Linked DNA regions of Macaca mulatta. The protein of the gene in region 1 interacts with the protein of each later gene in a biochemical or structural test. Links are inferred from orthologs where the notes say so. Each region holds a gene or a part of one and is shown in the gene's direction. Other genes may lie near its edges. The genes, in order: H2BC21, RNF40, RNF20 and KAT2A.

Evidence for each region.
Region 2: of the proteins of H2BC21 (region 1) and RNF40, one has a biochemical effect on the other in vitro, tested with the Homo sapiens proteins (2 studies listed by BioGRID). The link is inferred for Macaca mulatta from reciprocal best matches to the Homo sapiens genes H2BC21 and RNF40.
Region 3: of the proteins of H2BC21 (region 1) and RNF20, one has a biochemical effect on the other in vitro, tested with the Homo sapiens proteins (3 studies listed by BioGRID). The link is inferred for Macaca mulatta from reciprocal best matches to the Homo sapiens genes H2BC21 and RNF20.
Region 4: of the proteins of H2BC21 (region 1) and KAT2A, one has a biochemical effect on the other in vitro, tested with the Homo sapiens proteins (2 studies listed by BioGRID). The link is inferred for Macaca mulatta from reciprocal best matches to the Homo sapiens genes H2BC21 and KAT2A.

The regions. Positions count from the first base shown.
Region 1 is NC_133406.1:117,264,006-117,268,280, forward strand, and holds H2BC21 (histone H2B type 2-E), read left to right. Parts: upstream 1-1,557; 5' UTR 1,558-1,599; coding exon 1,600-1,980; 3' UTR 1,981-3,775; downstream 3,776-4,275. Other genes in the region: H2AC21 (histone H2A type 2-B), read left to right, coding at 323-715; H2AC20 (histone H2A type 2-C), read right to left, coding at 876-1,265. UniProt on the Homo sapiens protein: Core component of nucleosome. Nucleosomes wrap and compact DNA into chromatin, limiting DNA accessibility to the cellular machineries which require DNA as a template.
Region 2 is NC_133425.1:29,385,422-29,389,740, forward strand, and holds the start of RNF40 (E3 ubiquitin-protein ligase BRE1B), read left to right. Parts: upstream 1-1,461; 5' UTR 1,462-1,533; exon of another isoform or gene 1,534-1,571; intron 1,572-1,647; 5' UTR 1,648-1,718; coding exon 1,719-1,850; exon of another isoform or gene 1,851-2,160; intron 2,161-2,280; coding exon 2,281-2,448; intron 2,449-2,580; coding exon 2,581-2,722; intron 2,723-3,354; coding exon 3,355-3,561; intron 3,562-4,319. Other genes in the region: CFAP119 (cilia- and flagella-associated protein 119), read right to left, coding at 380-411, 729-932.
Region 3 is NC_133420.1:56,828,877-56,832,435, reverse strand, and holds part of RNF20 (E3 ubiquitin-protein ligase BRE1A), read left to right. Parts: intron 1-185; coding exon 186-304; intron 305-2,266; coding exon 2,267-2,413; intron 2,414-2,584; coding exon 2,585-2,662; intron 2,663-2,846; coding exon 2,847-2,966; intron 2,967-3,559. UniProt on the Homo sapiens protein: Component of the RNF20/40 E3 ubiquitin-protein ligase complex that mediates monoubiquitination of 'Lys-120' of histone H2B (H2BK120ub1).
Region 4 is NC_133421.1:66,457,563-66,461,627, reverse strand, and holds the start of KAT2A (histone acetyltransferase KAT2A), read left to right. Parts: upstream 1-1,262; 5' UTR 1,263-1,325; coding exon 1,326-1,664; intron 1,665-1,800; coding exon 1,801-1,924; intron 1,925-2,249; coding exon 2,250-2,395; intron 2,396-2,499; coding exon 2,500-2,589; intron 2,590-2,896; coding exon 2,897-3,078; intron 3,079-3,178; coding exon 3,179-3,370; intron 3,371-4,065. UniProt on the Homo sapiens protein: Protein lysine acyltransferase that can act as a acetyltransferase, glutaryltransferase, succinyltransferase or malonyltransferase, depending on the context.

The DNA.
Region 1 (4,275 bases):
GCAAAGCAAAACCCCATAGTACAAGACATTTTGTTTGAAAGCCTACTTTCTTTAAAGATCCTGCCATGCAAATAAGGGGCTTTAATGTGGCTCTCAGCGATTGGTAGATACTTACGAAATCCGTCATTTCCTTTCAGGGCAGGATGCAAACCAAGAGGCGGCTTTCTGTTTTTCTATTGGCTGTTGGATACGGCTCCGCTTTTAGCCAATCAAACGACTTCCCTTCACCCCTCCCGGTAGCTCTTATAAATTACATCAAATTGGTTATTCTTTCCACATTCTTCTCCTTGTAAAAGAAGCTGTAACTGCAATTTTAGCCGTAATGTCAGGACGCGGAAAGCAGGGAGGCAAGGCCCGCGCTAAGGCCAAGTCGCGCTCGTCCCGCGCTGGCCTCCAGTTCCCGGTGGGGCGAGTGCACCGCTTGCTGCGCAAGGGCAACTACGCGGAACGGGTGGGGGCAGGCGCCCCGGTGTACCTGGCGGCGGTCCTCGAGTACCTGACCGCGGAAATTCTGGAGCTAGCAGGCAACGCGGCTCGGGACAACAAGAAGACGCGCATCATCCCTCGCCATCTGCAACTAGCCGTGAGGAATGACGAAGAGCTCAACAAGTTACTCGGGGGTGTCACCATTGCCCAGGGCGGCGTCTTACCCAATATCCAGGCTGTCCTGTTGCCCAAGAAAACGGAGAGTCACAAGCCTGGCAAGAACAAGTAATTAAGAGGCTTGACACCATACTCATTCACCCCAAAGGCTCTTTTAAGAGCCACCAAAGTGTCAAATGAAGGGCTGATCACGAAATAGCGCATTAGCTCTTTTTTTGAAAACTTGGGTGGCTCTAAAAAGAGCCTTTGGTCTTTGGTTTGTTTGTCTGCATTTATTTGCTTTTGGCTTTGTGGCTTTCAGTTTTCTTTGGTAACAGAACGGCCTGGATGTTAGGCAAAACGCCGCCCTGGGCGATGGTGACTTTGCCCAGCAGCTTGTTCAGTTCCTCGTCGTTGCGGATGGCCAGCTGGAGGTGACGAGGGATGATGCGCGTCTTCTTGTTGTCCCGAGCTGCGTTGCCCGCCAGCTCCAGGATCTCGGCGGTCAGGTACTCGAGGACCGCCGCCATGTAGACTGGCGCGCCAGCCCCCACCCGCTCCGCGTAGTTGCCTTTGCGCAGCAAGCGGTGCACTCGCCCTACCGGGAACTGGAGGCCAGCGCGGGACGAGCGCGACTTGGCCTTGGCGCGAGCCTTGCCTCCTTGTTTGCCACGACCAGACATGACTGAAACCAAGGTTAAACACAGACAATGCTCAGAACCTCGCTACAAAATAAGCTTGAAAGAGAACCAAGAGGAAAGCCTTTATAAGCTTTCCTAGGGGTGGGGTCTAGAACGAGTTTTTCATTGGTCCTAATATGGCTTCAGAACCGGCCAATCAAGTCAAGAGTCGGTGTTGTTGCGTACGCATTGCTGAAAACGCAAGGTCCGCACACGGACCAATGGAAATGAATGACTTTCGGAGCCCTAATTTGCATAAGGTGGTTATAAAAGAATCAGGCCCGCCCATTCTCTTACTTCTTTTCTTGGCTAAGCCGCGTTTGTACTGTGTCTTACCATGCCTGAACCGGCAAAATCCGCTCCGGCTCCTAAAAAGGGCTCCAAGAAAGCCGTCACCAAAGCCCAGAAGAAAGACGGCAAGAAGCGCAAGCGCAGCCGCAAGGAGAGCTACTCCATCTACGTGTACAAGGTGCTGAAGCAGGTCCACCCCGACACCGGCATCTCGTCCAAGGCCATGGGCATCATGAACTCCTTCGTCAACGACATTTTCGAGCGCATCGCGGGAGAGGCGTCCCGCCTGGCGCACTACAACAAGCGCTCCACCATCACGTCCCGCGAGATCCAGACGGCCGTGCGCCTGCTGCTGCCCGGCGAGCTGGCCAAGCACGCCGTGTCCGAGGGCACCAAGGCAGTCACCAAGTACACCAGCTCCAAGTGAGTCCCTGCCGGGACCTGGCGCTCGCTCGCTCGAGTCGCCGGCTGCTTGACTCCAAAGGCTCTTTTCAGAGCCACCCACCTAATCACTAGAAAAGAGCTTGTTCACTTACTCCCTTAGTTTCTTCTCATAAAGTAATTTTAGCGTAAAGGTCATGGGAAATGCCACACGTAGGTTTTTAACCATTTGGAACTTGAGGTCCCCGGTGCATGATTGGATTTGCTTTTGAATCTAGAGCGTGTCTTCACTCATTGTGCTGCTTAGCATTCCCAGGAGTCGGTTCTCAATTAGGATGTTGGGAATCCGCCTCTTTACCCGCCCCCACTCCCGCCCCATACTGGCGCCCTGGTGGCTTCTTGGGTCTGTTTCATTCTAAAACGAAGTGGCTGAGTTCGGCTGTTATTTAAGAGAACTCCAGGGCACGATTCAGCCCAGGTTCCGCAAACACTGCGTGACAGCTGTGTATGACTGACGCTTGGCAGCACCTTTTGTGTCCGGTCACCAGTTCTGCTGTGCGATGGGGTCTCCTGTGGATACCAGCCGTTCTGTGTATTTTGGACGAAGCCCGCGCAGCCGGGTCCCAGCCTTTTCCTGATTGGGCGACATGAATATTCAAAATTCTGCGCCTCTTTCTAATTTGTAGATTTCAGTTTCCGTCGTTCACTTTGAGACTTTGAAATTCCTATTTCTCGTTTTGTTGATAATTTTTGCATTTAATGGTCTCTGCTTTAAAGGGTAAGGCTGCGGCCCCAGGTCACTGCGAGGCACTTACCGTGTAGATACGGGCTCAAAAGTCACCTGTCAGAGATCTACGTCATCCACTAAGGAATTCGCGCCGCTCATACTTGCCTGTCTCATTTTATCTTCCTTCTAGCAGCTGTCTGAAATTGGTTCGTCTGTTTTCTTGTTTATGGTATTCTCAAGCCCTTGACCGGCTGGTGTGGTTTTCCCGTGCATCTTCAGCCTGGCACATTATGGACACTTACCTAAATACTACGTATTGATGTAATATTGTTGGGTTAGTTTTTCCATCCCATCGTTTTCTTAATCGCTTTCGTGGATGGATGATGGGTGCTGTTCATTTCCGTTAGATGTATGTGAAGGCACGGTGAAAATGGAAATGTTTTTGGAGCTACTTCCTCAAATGTGTCCTTAGTCACCTCAGTGCAACAGCTGGGAGGGGGCCGTGTTAAGATTTTTTTTGCATCAAAGAGGAGGTGGCAATGGTAGATCCACCCTTACGCTTCCCAGTTTAGCATAACCTCTTTTGGATTTTCATCAAATTCAGCGTATTGGTCACTGGAAAGAGCCTTTTCCTTCTTTTCTTACTCTCCCCTCTTGGTGTTCCCCTCTTAAAGGAGAGGAGCTTTTAATTGACAGTCATCACCTCATTTGCTTTCCAGGAGGCCATGCAAGATAGGCAGGACTACAGGGTTAATCTCCTTTTTACAAATGAGGCCAAGAGAAGCCTCATTGGTTCACAGTCATGCAGCTCATACTGTCCACCCTTGTATTCTCAGATGCAGGACAATTGCATTTTAGTTTTATTTTGTGGAGGTACAGAATATTTACTCTTTCTGTCCAACCCTTGATTCTGCCGAGGAAGACACTGATGGTTTGATGAGTGATTCAACTCTGTTTTTGGCTAAGGGTTTTTGGAGTTGATAGCAGGGGTCTGATGAATCCAAATGAGCTCTAGACATTATCACAGACTGAATAAATCTTAACTGTCTCCTACATGTGTGTTTTCAAATGTGTGTAGATGCTATTGTTATTAATAAAGTTACCAATTGAAGGCTTTGCTGGATTCTTTTATCTACAGTATATATTTCTCAATGAAGGAAATTAACAGATACAACTTACACAGGGTCTATAGAAAAGCATGGGTGCCTCTGATCTGGGGGATGACTATTTATAAGCCACCAGCCAAACTGCTGCCCCAAAGGTGCACTAGGGCTGAAATAGTCTCTTACAAGGCCACTGTTAATGCTTAGTAATTGAAAAATATATGATCACAAATAGAAAGCAGTACAAATAAGATGGAAGAACTAAAGTTCATAATGAAGTTAAGCTAACACCTACGGAGCACTTACTGTGTGCCAGGTAGTGTTCTAGGCCCTTTATACATATTGACTCATCTAATTCTCACCAGGACCTCAGGAAGTAGTACCATTATTATCACCCATTTTACAGATAAGGAAACTGAGGCAAAGAGAAGCCTTTCTTCAGAAACTCTCCAGAGGATAAGCTCCTAGGTTAGCAGTTAAGGGACTTGAGAAACAGGGTCATTCTGAAAAC
Region 2 (4,319 bases), on another chromosome or scaffold:
TCTTATGAGCCTCTCAATTTCTAAAGCCTAGGGTTAGGAAACTTGAATTCTTTTTTTCTGCTCTGCCACTACCTTGTATGACCTTGGTCAAATCCCCCCTGTGGCCCTCAGTGTCCCCCTCTGTACAATACTCCATAGCAGTCATGAGACTCCCTTTACATCCTGTCTTTGGCTCTTTTTTTCTCACACTGTCTCCTCTTTGGATTGGGGATGCTGGAAAGCTGGCTTCCAGTCACCTGGAGTAATTGCATCTCTGGGCCTCAGTCTCCTCATCTGTAAAAATGGGGATGCCCTGGCCACAGACAGGACTGTTGGGGAGGCAATAAAGAAAGAACGCAAATATTCAGTGTAACTCTTCCCCAAGTCTCTTCACACTCACCACATGCAGATCCGGGGTCGGGGCAGCGGCGGCTGCGGAAAGAAAGCGAATTGGGGAAGGCAGCTGTGGTGTCCTGGCCGTCGCGAATCTGCAGCGGGCCCCAGAACTCGCTGTAACTTGCCATCTCATCTCAACGACTAAGAAGGAGAGGCGCGGGCGAGGGCGGGCTTCAGGAGGCCCTAGGTGCTCTATGTGAGCACAATAACCACCAGGGTCACACACCCCTGCCTCTCCTCGCCCAGGCAGCGCGGGAGACGTCCCGAACGTTAGTAAGCATAATGACGATTGGTGCCTGCGGGGGAGCCCGTTTATAAATATTCACGAGCGGACCAGACTGTCCCGCCCTCACCGGGAACAAGTTGGCTCCGGGGTCTTCATCCGCTTTCGCCGCCGCCGCCGCCGTCGACTGGGTCCGCACACTCGCTCGCGTCCGCGCGGCCGACCCACGCACTGAGATGCGATCCTTCCCCGCTTCCCGCCGCAGCTCGGAGAAATGTTCAAGTTCCGACTGCACCCTCATTCCCAAAAAGTGGCTGGTCTTGCGGTTGAGCATCTCGCCGCTCTTCCGTGCCGCGGCGCGCCCCGGGCTCCCGCCGCCTCGGTTCCAGGACAGCCAGCGCTCGGTCTGCGGCTACCAAGGCCGGGCCCGCTAGTCTTGCTCCGGCCAATCTGCGCGCCGAGAGGCGCGGCGGAGCGAATCCGTGGGGGCGTCTCCCTCCGTCTCAACGGTGACGGTTGCCAAGGGGGCTTGTGAAGGAATGAAGGCGGGAAACGCAAGCTCACGCCAGTGGGTGCGAAGAGAACGCGCAGATACGTAAGAAGTTGCGAGTGCCCACCTGAGCACCCTCTCTTCCAAGTTGTTAATACGAGGGCCGGCGCTGTCCTCAAGGCCGGGAAGTGGGAGCTTGGTGTCAGTTACTATGGGAACTGCCTCTTGGCCAATCACCGAGAGAAAGAGAAGGTGTTTGGGAAGAAGCCAGAGGACCCGAGAGGCGGGACCAAACGTAACCAATAGAAGCAGAAGATAATGAAGTTTCCTCACATCCGGGGCTGCCTCCGGCGCCTGCGCCCTGCGCACCGTTGGGGGGGGCCAGTAACGTCCAGTGACGTCCGGTGAAATCCAAGATGGCGGCGCTAGGCTGACCCTGTTGCTGGTGAGGGCTCTGGCGCCGGCGGGGACGGGATCCAGCAGGTGTGTGCGGGGTGGAGGGTGTTTGGGGCTGTGGAACACCAGCCGTTCCCACATCTCTGCTCTCTGTCTTCTGCAGGTGACGGAAGTACCGCCTCCTCCCGTCTGACGCCCCTCAGGGGACCCTGCGCCGCTCCAGCCGCCGCGGCCATGTCTGGGCTAGGCAACAAACGCGCCGCCGGCGACGGGGGCTCAGGGCCCCCGGAGAAGAAGCTGAGTCGTGAGGAGAAGACCACCACCACTCTTATCGAGCCCATTCGTCTTGGAGGCATCTCTTCCACGGTTCTTGGGCTCTTGCCTTAACCCTCAGAATTTCCCAGAGCCCTCCCTCTGTTCCCTGGCCAAATTGTCCAGAATCTTACACCCACTTCCCCAAGTTTAGCAAGGTCCGCGTTACAGGATACTCTGTTGAAAGAAGCCGAGAACACGACGCCTGTCTTCCCTTTACAGATAGGAAAACAGGTTCCCAGGGGGCGTGTGACTTGTCAAAGACTAAGGAGTTAGAAGGGGACAGGCAGAAACAACGTGAGCCTCCTCACAACCAAGACACTTTCGCTGTGGGTTGTGTGAGCCTCCTTAGATTCTGTTAGCGGTTAGTGTGGGAATACCCCCATCTCCCATGCATTCCAGATGCTCTGCTCCTCTCTTTCTGTGTGATTGGTTTCTGGGCTCTGCTTGATATTCTCGTCGGCCCCTTTGTTTCCTTTGGTAGGAGGAGATGGACCTGAAGGTACTACAGTTCAAGAACAAAAAACTGGCAGAGCGGCTGGAACAACGGCAGGCTTGTGAAGATGAACTCCGAGAACGAATTGAGAAGTTGGAGAAGCGGCAGGCCACAGATGATGCCACACTCCTCATCGTCAATCGCTACTGGGCCCAGGTGGATGCCTTCTGCTTTCCAAGACCAGGCCTTGATTCAGCTGCCAATCCCCAGATTCCCCTGCTGGAAAAGGGGTATAATGTTGGAAAGCATTAAGGGATTCATAACATTTTTGATGCTTTCTCCTTCCAGCTGGATGAAACTGTGGAAGCCCTTCTCCGATGCCATGAGGGCCAGGGGGAGCTGTCTTCAGCGCCTGAAGCACCTGGGACCCAGGAGGGGCCCACATGTGATGGGACTCCTCTCCCAGAGCCGGGGACATCAGAGCTGAGGGGTGAGACCAGAGTTCTGGGATCTAGGGAGCTTCAGTTCTGGGAAAAGTCCTGGGGAGGAGGGGACTTTGGTGTTGGGCCTCTGAATTGCCTGCCTTACTACTCCCCACGAAATGGATTTCATGTTTGGGTGGTAAAGTGCAGTGCACAAAAATACAGGCTTTGGACTCTGACTAACTTGGTTTATAGAGCAATTCATGTTTCGACACCCATTTGTTTGAAAACAGTATTACGGTTGAGTGTTAACTATGTATTTGACGCTTTCTAGAAATGGGTACTTGCTCATTGCATTTGCTATGAGGGAGGAAATTACAAACATAGTAAGCAGAAAGTACTGGGGCTCTTGAAAGGGAATAATTGTGTGTGCACACGTGTGTGTGTGTGAGATTCTAATTTTTATTGGGAAAGTACAGGAGGCATCCCTGAGGATGTGATACGCAACTCTGTAGCTTTGAGGAAATTACTTTACCTCCCTGAACCTCATTTGTCTCACTTTCAGGATGGAGATAATAGTGCACTATAGGTTGTGTTGATTAAGTGAGCCATGAATATTGAAGGGCTCAGTCTGGAACTTAGTACAGAGTGGTGGTAACTGCTGCTATTATCCTCATGAGGGTCTGTCCATTCCTTCCAGAGCCCTTGCCATTGCAGCTGCGGCCCCCTCTCAGTGAGCCGGCCTTGGCTTTTGTGGTGGCACTGGGTGCCAGCAGCAGTGAGGAGGTGGAGCTGGAGCTGCAAGGCCGAATGGAGTTCTCTAAGGCAGCTGTGTCTCATGTGGTAGAGGCCTCAGACCGCCTACAGCGCCGGGTGGAGGAACTCTGTCAGCGAGTGTATAGCCGAGGTGGGTTCTTTGTGCCCATACCCAAGAGGTGTCCATCCCTACCTGCATCTTTTTTTTTTTTTTTTTTTTTTTTTTTTTTGAGACGGAGTCTCACGCTGTTGCCCAGGCTGGAGTGCAGTGGCGCGATCTCGGCTCACTGCAAGCTCCGCCTCCCGGGTTCCCGCCATTCTCCTGCCTCAGCCTCCTGAGTAGCTGGGACTACAAGCGCCCGCCACCGCGCCCGGCTAATTTTTTGTATTTTTAGTAGAGACGGGGTTTCACTGTGGTCTCGATCTCCTGACCTTGTGATCCGCCCGCCTCGGCCTCCCAAAGTGCTGGGATTACAGGCTTGAGCCACCGCGCCCGGCCTCCTACCTGCATCTTGATGGCACCCCTTTCCAATTCCCCTAATGCCCAAGTCCAAGGGCGGCCAGAATTCCCCAAGGAATATATCAGCCACGTTCTTGGGAGGGGTAGGTTAGTCTGTAGATGGGGGTTCCAACTTTGATTCCTGGACTGAATGCTAGAGAGATGGGTTGGAGGAGCTGTTGATGCTAGTAGAGCCTCCTGTCCAGAGGCCCCTCTGGAGCACTTTGTGTGGGTTGCAGATCCACAAGGCATAGCTTCAAGGGCTCAGGCCTTGTAGGTTGACAGGCTTCTCCCACTTCAGTTCTGCCACCCTCACCTGGACGTGCTGGGAAAGTGGCTCCCCTCTCTGAGCTGGTTTCCTCCTCTGTGCAGTGGAGATAAAGACTCCTAGCTTTGTCATGAGAAATTGG
Region 3 (3,559 bases), on another chromosome or scaffold:
TCCCAGCCACTCTGGAGGCTGAGGCAGGAGAATCGGCTTGAACCCAGGAGGCAGAGGTTGCAGTGAGCCGAGACTGCGCCACTGTACTCCAGCCTGGGAGATAGAGTGAGACTCCATCTCAAAAAATAAAAATAAGAAAAAAGACACTGTAGATGCTAAACTAAAGTATAGTTCTTCTTCCCCAGATAATCTGATAGTGGAGGAAGCAGTGCAGGAGCTGAACTCTTTCCTCGCACAGGAGAATATGAGGCTACAGGAATTGACAGATCTTCTTCAGGAAAAGCATCGCACCATGTCTCAGGAGGTACTTAACCAAAAAAGAGAGATGGCTGTGTCTAGTGGGCTGTGGCAGACGTTGACTTAGAATTCTGAGCACCTCAAAGATCACCTTACTCTAGAAGGCCTATCATAGGGGATTTTGCAAAACACAACACAACTCCACACCTCCAAATAATGAATTACCCTAAATATAAAAGACTGTATAATGTTATTGAGGAATGGCGTGGTAGAAATTCAACAGCGAATGGGGAAGTAGAACCTACTGTATTGATGATGTCCTAGGAATTTGAGGAATGTGAATTTTCAGTCTAAACTTGGGCACAAATAATGCCATGGTTAAACCACGCCAAGATTTGGACATTTATTTGTTTACACAAAATGATCAAGATAAAGTGATGATAGGCCTTAAATGATTTTTCTGATACTCCTGATTATCATTTTGATTTAGTTCAAAATATATTCTACTGGAATTTGCCCTACCTTAGTTTAGCCACTGAATTCTCATGCTAATTAGTAATTTAGTAGTTACACTTACTCAGTGCCTAGAATATAAGCACTTTATGATTGTTATCTCTAATGGCAAAACAACTCCCATTTTATTGCCGAAGAAATAAATTCAAAGAGGTTAGTGATTATTCTGAGGGCACATAGCTAGAAAGTGATTGAGCTGTGTTGTGACTATAGGTCTGTTTGACTTCAAAGCTCTTGTTCTTCATATGCCTTTGTTTACTAAACTCCAGTGTTGAGGTCTAGGCTGGGCTGGTTGCATGAGTATCATCTGGGGAATTTATTAATTCATATGGATTATCCTGGACCTTCAAAGGGGTTAGAATATAGCAGCCCTTATAAATAAACTGGAGTCTAGTAAGAAAATAGAATATTTTTGTCATGTTTTAAGACACTGACTAGGTGCTACCAAGATGGAGAGGTCTTCCTTTTCTAGGCCTTTGGCAAATCTCAGATTGTATTACTAACCTGGAGGGCAGTTGTTTGCTAAACTGTGTGATGTCCATGTTGACTCTCATGGCTGGCTGTTGATGCTGCCTGTCAGCTGGGTTAATTGTCCACTGGGATACCTACAGGTTGCTTCTTCATCATGGTAGTCTCAGGATGGTTGGAATTTTTACATGTTGGCTGCCTTCTTCCAGTGAGCATCCCAAGATCACCAGGTAGAACCTTCATAGCCTTTCTGATATAGCCTCAAAATTATGTAGTGCCATTTCCATTGGGTCTCTAAAGTTGACCCAGATTCAAGAGGAGGGAACAAAGATCCCACCTCTTGTTGGGAGGACTTTCAAAGGATTTTTGTGTCATACTTTAAAAGCTAGCACAAAGGGTATATATAGATTAATGTGAACATGTAATAGTTTAGTAGTTAAAATACTAAATAGTGCTAGCTGGTGTATAGCTCCTAGAGTATCTGACTCTAGATTATAGTATAATGTATACCGTATTGTATCTGACTCCAGATTGCTCTGGGGAGAGCTTGAAAAAGTGTATGGAAGTTTTCCTTTTGCTGAATGGATTACCTTTTGTGGGAATGTGGAGAGAGAAATTTGGGGGTAAAAATGGTTTTTTTGAAAAAAATATTTATCTAACAAAACGAAAGAGACTATCTTTTATCTCTTAAAAAATGCAAAATTTTTATAAGTTTGTAGTCTGTCCAGGGAAATGGTGCTTTTCAGAGGTAGAAAAATTGTTGAATCTTTGGTGGTCTTTTCTTTGGGAGTTCTTACAGGCTTCAGACTTAAAGTTTTCATGATTATGACTGACCCAGAATTGTTGGAGGAATCCATGATTTCATTTTTATAATCATGCATTGGGAAGAGGGTGAAGCATCTTCTATTTGTCTCTTTTCTATATAATTCCACATAAGCAAGGGTTAATATTGTGGAATTTGGAACTTAAGCTACATATGTTAGGCAGTCCTTTTCTAACTTGGTCTTTTTTTGCTATATATTTCTAAATGTCTGTCTTTGGGATGTAGTTCTCCAAGTTGCAGAGTAAAGTGGAGACAGCTGAATCACGAGTGTCTGTCCTGGAATCCATGATTGACGACCTGCAGTGGGATATTGACAAAATTCGAAAGAGGGAACAGCGACTCAACCGACACTTAGCAGAAGTCCTAGAACGGGTCAGTGCTGTTTTATGGCTTGGAGACTAGAATCATTTTAAGGAGTGTTCGCGGGAAGACTCACCTTGGGACATGGTACTTGAGGAAAAAAAACTCATCCTTTGAAGGTACATTGGTTATAGACTAAAATCTTAAGAGTCTCTCACTAAAGAATCTTTGTCTTCTCTGTAGGTAAATTCCAAAGGTTATAAGGTGTATGGAGCAGGGAGCAGTCTGTATGGCGGCACAATCACTATCAATGCTCGGAAGGTAAAATCAGTGACTTAGGACATGTTTTGGACTTTATGTCAGCCTTCGTGCTTAGGTACTTAGGATTGTATTCACACGTGACATCGTGGGGTTTTGCTGAAAGAGAGAATCAGTGAAGATAGGAAGCTTAGAAATGATTTAAGAAGAATACTTATTTATTCTCTATTTTTCTGTTTCTCTCCAGTTTGAGGAAATGAATGCAGAGCTTGAAGAGAACAAAGAGTTGGCTCAGAACCGTCTCTGTGAGCTGGAGAAACTTCGGCAAGACTTTGAGGAGGTCACTACACAAAATGAAAAGCTGAAGGTAGGAACGCATGCCTGAAGGGCAGTCAAATCAGATGTTTTGCTGATCAACTCATGTATATACATAGTTGTGAATCTGCGTATTTATGAGGGATAAGAAAAATGTAGACAAAATCCAACATCCTTTTATGATAAAACTCTAAACAAATTAGGTGTAGAAGAAGTGTACCTCAGCATAATAAAGACCATATAAAACAAGCCCACAGCCAACATTATACCCAATGGCGAAAAGTTGAAAGCTTTTCCTTTGAGATCAGGAATAGGATAAAGATGCCCGCTCTCATTACGTTTGTGCTAGCCAGGGTAATTAGGCAAGGATAAGAAATAAAGGCCTCTTAATCAGAAAGGAAGAAGTAAAGTTGTTTCTGTTTATAGATGACATGACTTTATATATAGAAAACCTTACAGGCTCCACGAAAAAACTGTTAGAACTATAAATGAATTCAGTAAAGTTGCAGGCTACAAAATCAACATACAAAAACAATTGTGTGTCTATATACTAACAACAAACTATACAAAAAAGAAATTAAGAAAACAATCCCATTTACAATAGCATTAAAAAAAAAATTGTGAGTAACCTTAACCAGGGAAATG
Region 4 (4,065 bases), on another chromosome or scaffold:
CTCTCATCCTAGACCCTGACCCTTTCTCCGCCCTTCCCCACCTTCGTTAATGGGCCCCGAGGAGGCCGCAGCTGTGAAGGAACTGGATCCTCGACCAGGCCAGACCCGAGGGAGCCGGACCGCGGTGCAGCCAACAGCAGATTGATCCCCCAGCTGGAAGGGGGCTGTCTTGCCTTCTAAGGACCAGGCCTGGGGCAAGGATTGTTCCCAGAGAGAGTCAGGGGAGGGCGGCCTTTCTGGGTCATCCACCCTACCTCTCCCTGACCACCCACAACCCCACGCGGACACGCGAGACGAGGAGGCGGACTGGTCTCTCCGGCTGCATTAATTCATCCGCCCCCCGGGGTCTCCTGTGATGCAGGCTGTGGTCTGGGTTCGGGCCACAAAGATGAAGATGCAGTCGGGGCTTTAGGAGAGCGGCTCCCAGTGCGCAGAGAAAGGCTTAGCCGTCCCCTGCCTCACCCTCCACAGTAGCCTTCTTGGTGACCATCGTAACCACAGCTATGCCTCTGGTGCTGTTAATTGATTTTTTTTTTTTTTTTTTTTTTTTTTTAAGAGTCAGGGTCTTATTATGTTGCCCAGGTTAATCTCGAACTCCTGGGCTCAAGCGATCCTCCCATCTCGACCTCCCAAAGTGCTAGGATTACAGGCGTGAGCCACCTCGTCCGGTCTATAAACTTTATTTTTTATTTTTTTGTAGAGATGGGGTCTCCCTATGTTGCCCAGCCTGGTCTCGAACTCCTAGGCTCAGGCGATTCTCCTGCGTGAGCCAGCCACCCGGCCTGATAAACTCCCTTTTGTTGAGTGATGCTATTAAATACATACAGAAAAGCGCACGAAAAGGTGCAGGTGAATGTCAGGAGGAGAACACACCCAAGTCACCACCACACTGCTGCAGAACTGTTGTTACGTCTCATCTTTACCGCAGCTGCAATTCCATGTCCGGAGCCGCGTGGGGCAGGGCCTGTGCGCGAGTTGGGGGAGGGGGTTAAGTGGGAGAGAGGCGCAGGAAAGAGGCAGACCCCACGATTGTCCCCAAGACTCCTTGTCCCCAAGAGGACAGCCATCGTGACTCTCCCGGACACCATTAAAAGAGATTACAAGTCAAGAGGGGTCAATGTGGGGCCTTCGCTCAGGCCTCACTTGGCTGTCAGGGGCCAAGAGACCAGACAGAAAAGTCTGGAAGCTGGAGGCAGTGGGGGAAGGCGCTGGAAGACTACAACTCCCGTCACGCGCCGCGCAGCGACGCCTGCGCACTGAACGCCGGTTGCCCATGCGGCCCTAGGGCTGGGAGCGCGGCGCCGCTCTCCGCTGCGGGGGAGGCCATGGCGGAACCTTCCCAGGCCCCGACCCCGGCCCCAGCTGCGCAGCCCCGGCCCCTTCAGTCCCCAGCCCCTGCCCCAACTCCGACTCCTGCACCCAGCCCGGCTTCAGCCCCGACTCCGACTCCCACCCCGGCACCAGCCCCTGCCCCAGCTGCAGCCCCAGCCGGCAGCACAGGGACTGGGGGGCCCGGGGTAGGAAGTGGGGGGGCCGGGAGCGGGGGGGATCCGGCTCGACCTGGCCTGAGCCAGCAGCAGCGCGCTAGCCAGAGGAAGGCGCAAGTCCGGGGGCTGCCGCGCGCCAAGAAGCTTGAGAAGCTAGGGGTCTTCTCGGCTTGCAAGGTGGGGGCGGGGCCTGGGGTGAAGGGGCGGGGCTTGGGGCATCCCTGGGCTCGGGTGGGAGTGGGGTAAAAGCTCAGGCTGCGGAGCGGCTCTTGCCCCAGAGGTATAGATCATTGACTGATCCTTCCGCCTCCAGGCCAATGAAACCTGTAAGTGTAATGGCTGGAAAAACCCCAAGCCCCCCACTGCACCCCGCATGGATCTGCAGCAGCCAGCTGCCAACCTGAGTGAGCTGTGCCGCAGTTGTGAGCATCCCTTGGGTAAGGCAGGCAGCGCCCTTGGAGCTGGGGGCAGCTGCTTGGACAGGGTGACAAGTGCCACAAAGCCTCATCTCTGAAAAATCAAAGATGCCTCGAAGGAGGGATTGGGTTGGGGGGTGTGTATGCACCAAGGGAGGGGAAAGGAAATCTCTCAGCCCAGAACAGGCCCAGGCAACCCAATGGCTGTTATCGCAGCAGTCAGTCTCACTATTGGTCACACTGGTTGGAGGGACGGAGTGTGCATCTTGGTTGGCTGTGAAGAGGGTCAAGAAGCCTTGTTGATTTCTTCTATCAATTTTTCCCAACTCTGTCATCTGTCTTGCAGCTGACCACGTATCTCACTTGGAGAATGTGTCAGAGGATGAAATAAACCGGCTGCTGGGGATGGTGGTGGATGTGGAGAATCTCTTCATGTCTGTTCACAAGGAGGAGGACACAGACACCAAGCAGGTCTATTTCTACCTCTTCAAGGTGAGCTTCTACTGAAGGAGGGTGTGAATGAAGGAGGTGGGGCCTTGAGGGGTTGTCTGCAGCTCTGCCCCGCTCCCCTCTATGCCCCTTCCTCTTCTCTCTAGCTCCTGCGGAAGTGCATCCTGCAGATGACCCGGCCCGTGGTGGAGGGGTCCCTGGGCAGCCCTCCGTTTGAGAAACCTAATATTGAGCAGGTGGGATAGGGAAATTGGAGATAGCGGAGAGGAGAATTGGGGACAGCTTGGAGGAGTGGGGAGCCTGTGTTCTCCATCCTCCTCAAGCTGAGAACCGTGGGGAGGTTCAGAGAAGGGAGGGTGTTTTGTGCTAACCTCAGGGTGGGCATGGTGGTAGGGAGGGGGCAGAGCTTTTCTATAGAAAGCACCCGAGAGAGAGAGGAGAACCTTGTCCCTGGCCTCAGGGAGCCTCTTCCTTTGTCTAAGAAGGCCCTGCAGGCTGCTCACATCTCATTCCTGGTTTTATTCCCCACCCACCCCTTCTCAGGGTGTGCTGAACTTTGTGCAGTACAAGTTTAGTCACCTGGCTCCCCGGGAGCGGCAGACGATGTTCGAGCTCTCAAAGATGTTCTTGCTCTGCCTTAACTACTGGAAGCTTGAGACACCTGCCCAGTTTCGGCAGAGGTCTCAGGCTGAAGATGTGGCTACCTACAAGGTCAATTACACCAGGTAGGCCCAGCCAGGGGCAGCTTCGGGGGAGGCTGGCAGGCCCAGCCTGGGTTCAGTGGTTTCCGCCCTCACCTGTCTCCCCCTCAACTCCCTACTCCAGATGGCTCTGTTACTGCCACGTGCCCCAGAGCTGTGATAGTCTCCCCCGCTACGAAACCACTCATGTCTTTGGGCGAAGCCTTCTCCGGTCCATTTTCACCGTTACCCGCCGGCAGCTGCTGGAAAAGTTCCGAGTGGAGAAGGACAAATTGGTGCCTGAGAAGAGGACCCTCATCCTCACTCACTTCCCCAAGTAAGGCTCCTTCTGGCCTATCAGGATTTGGCCCCAAGTTCACATCCTCCCTGTTGTCCCCTTTTTTCCAGGAAGGCTTCCTGGATTGGTCCCTCCTCTCCCTCCATGGGCCTTCTGGGATCTGGGCGTCTACCTGGCAGACTTGCCCATGGCCCAGAAGCAACTTGCTAGTACTAGTCTGGGGATGGCAGGTACATAGCCCAAGCTAACGCTGCCCCCACCCCACCCTACGCCCCGGTAGATGTTACTAATTGTTTCCCATGGGGGCCTGGACACAGCCTCAGACTCCTTCCCTGCACAGCTCTCCAAGAAATCAGAGCTTATGCTTGAAGTGAAACCAATTTCTACTCCTGTTCTGGTCTTTTCTGTACAATTTTCTTCTGTTCGGCCACACCTTTTAAAATCTGGGTCATAACTCCCCTGTTCAAAAAACCCTCACTGACGAATCCTGGCTCTCTAGTGCCCTCCGCCATCAGGTGGGAACAAGAGATGGCAAGGTGGGGTGGAGTCTGAGCCCATTTTGATACTGAGGGCAGTGAGGGGATTCAGGGTGACAAGGTGCCCTCCCTGGCCACACAGCACAGGATGACATCAGCTCAGACCTGTCTCCCTGTGCTACACAGCATGGTGAAACTGAGCTTCTTTGATCTCTGTCCTGGATGTGTCCTGTTGTCTTACCTTCAATTGGAGGCTCC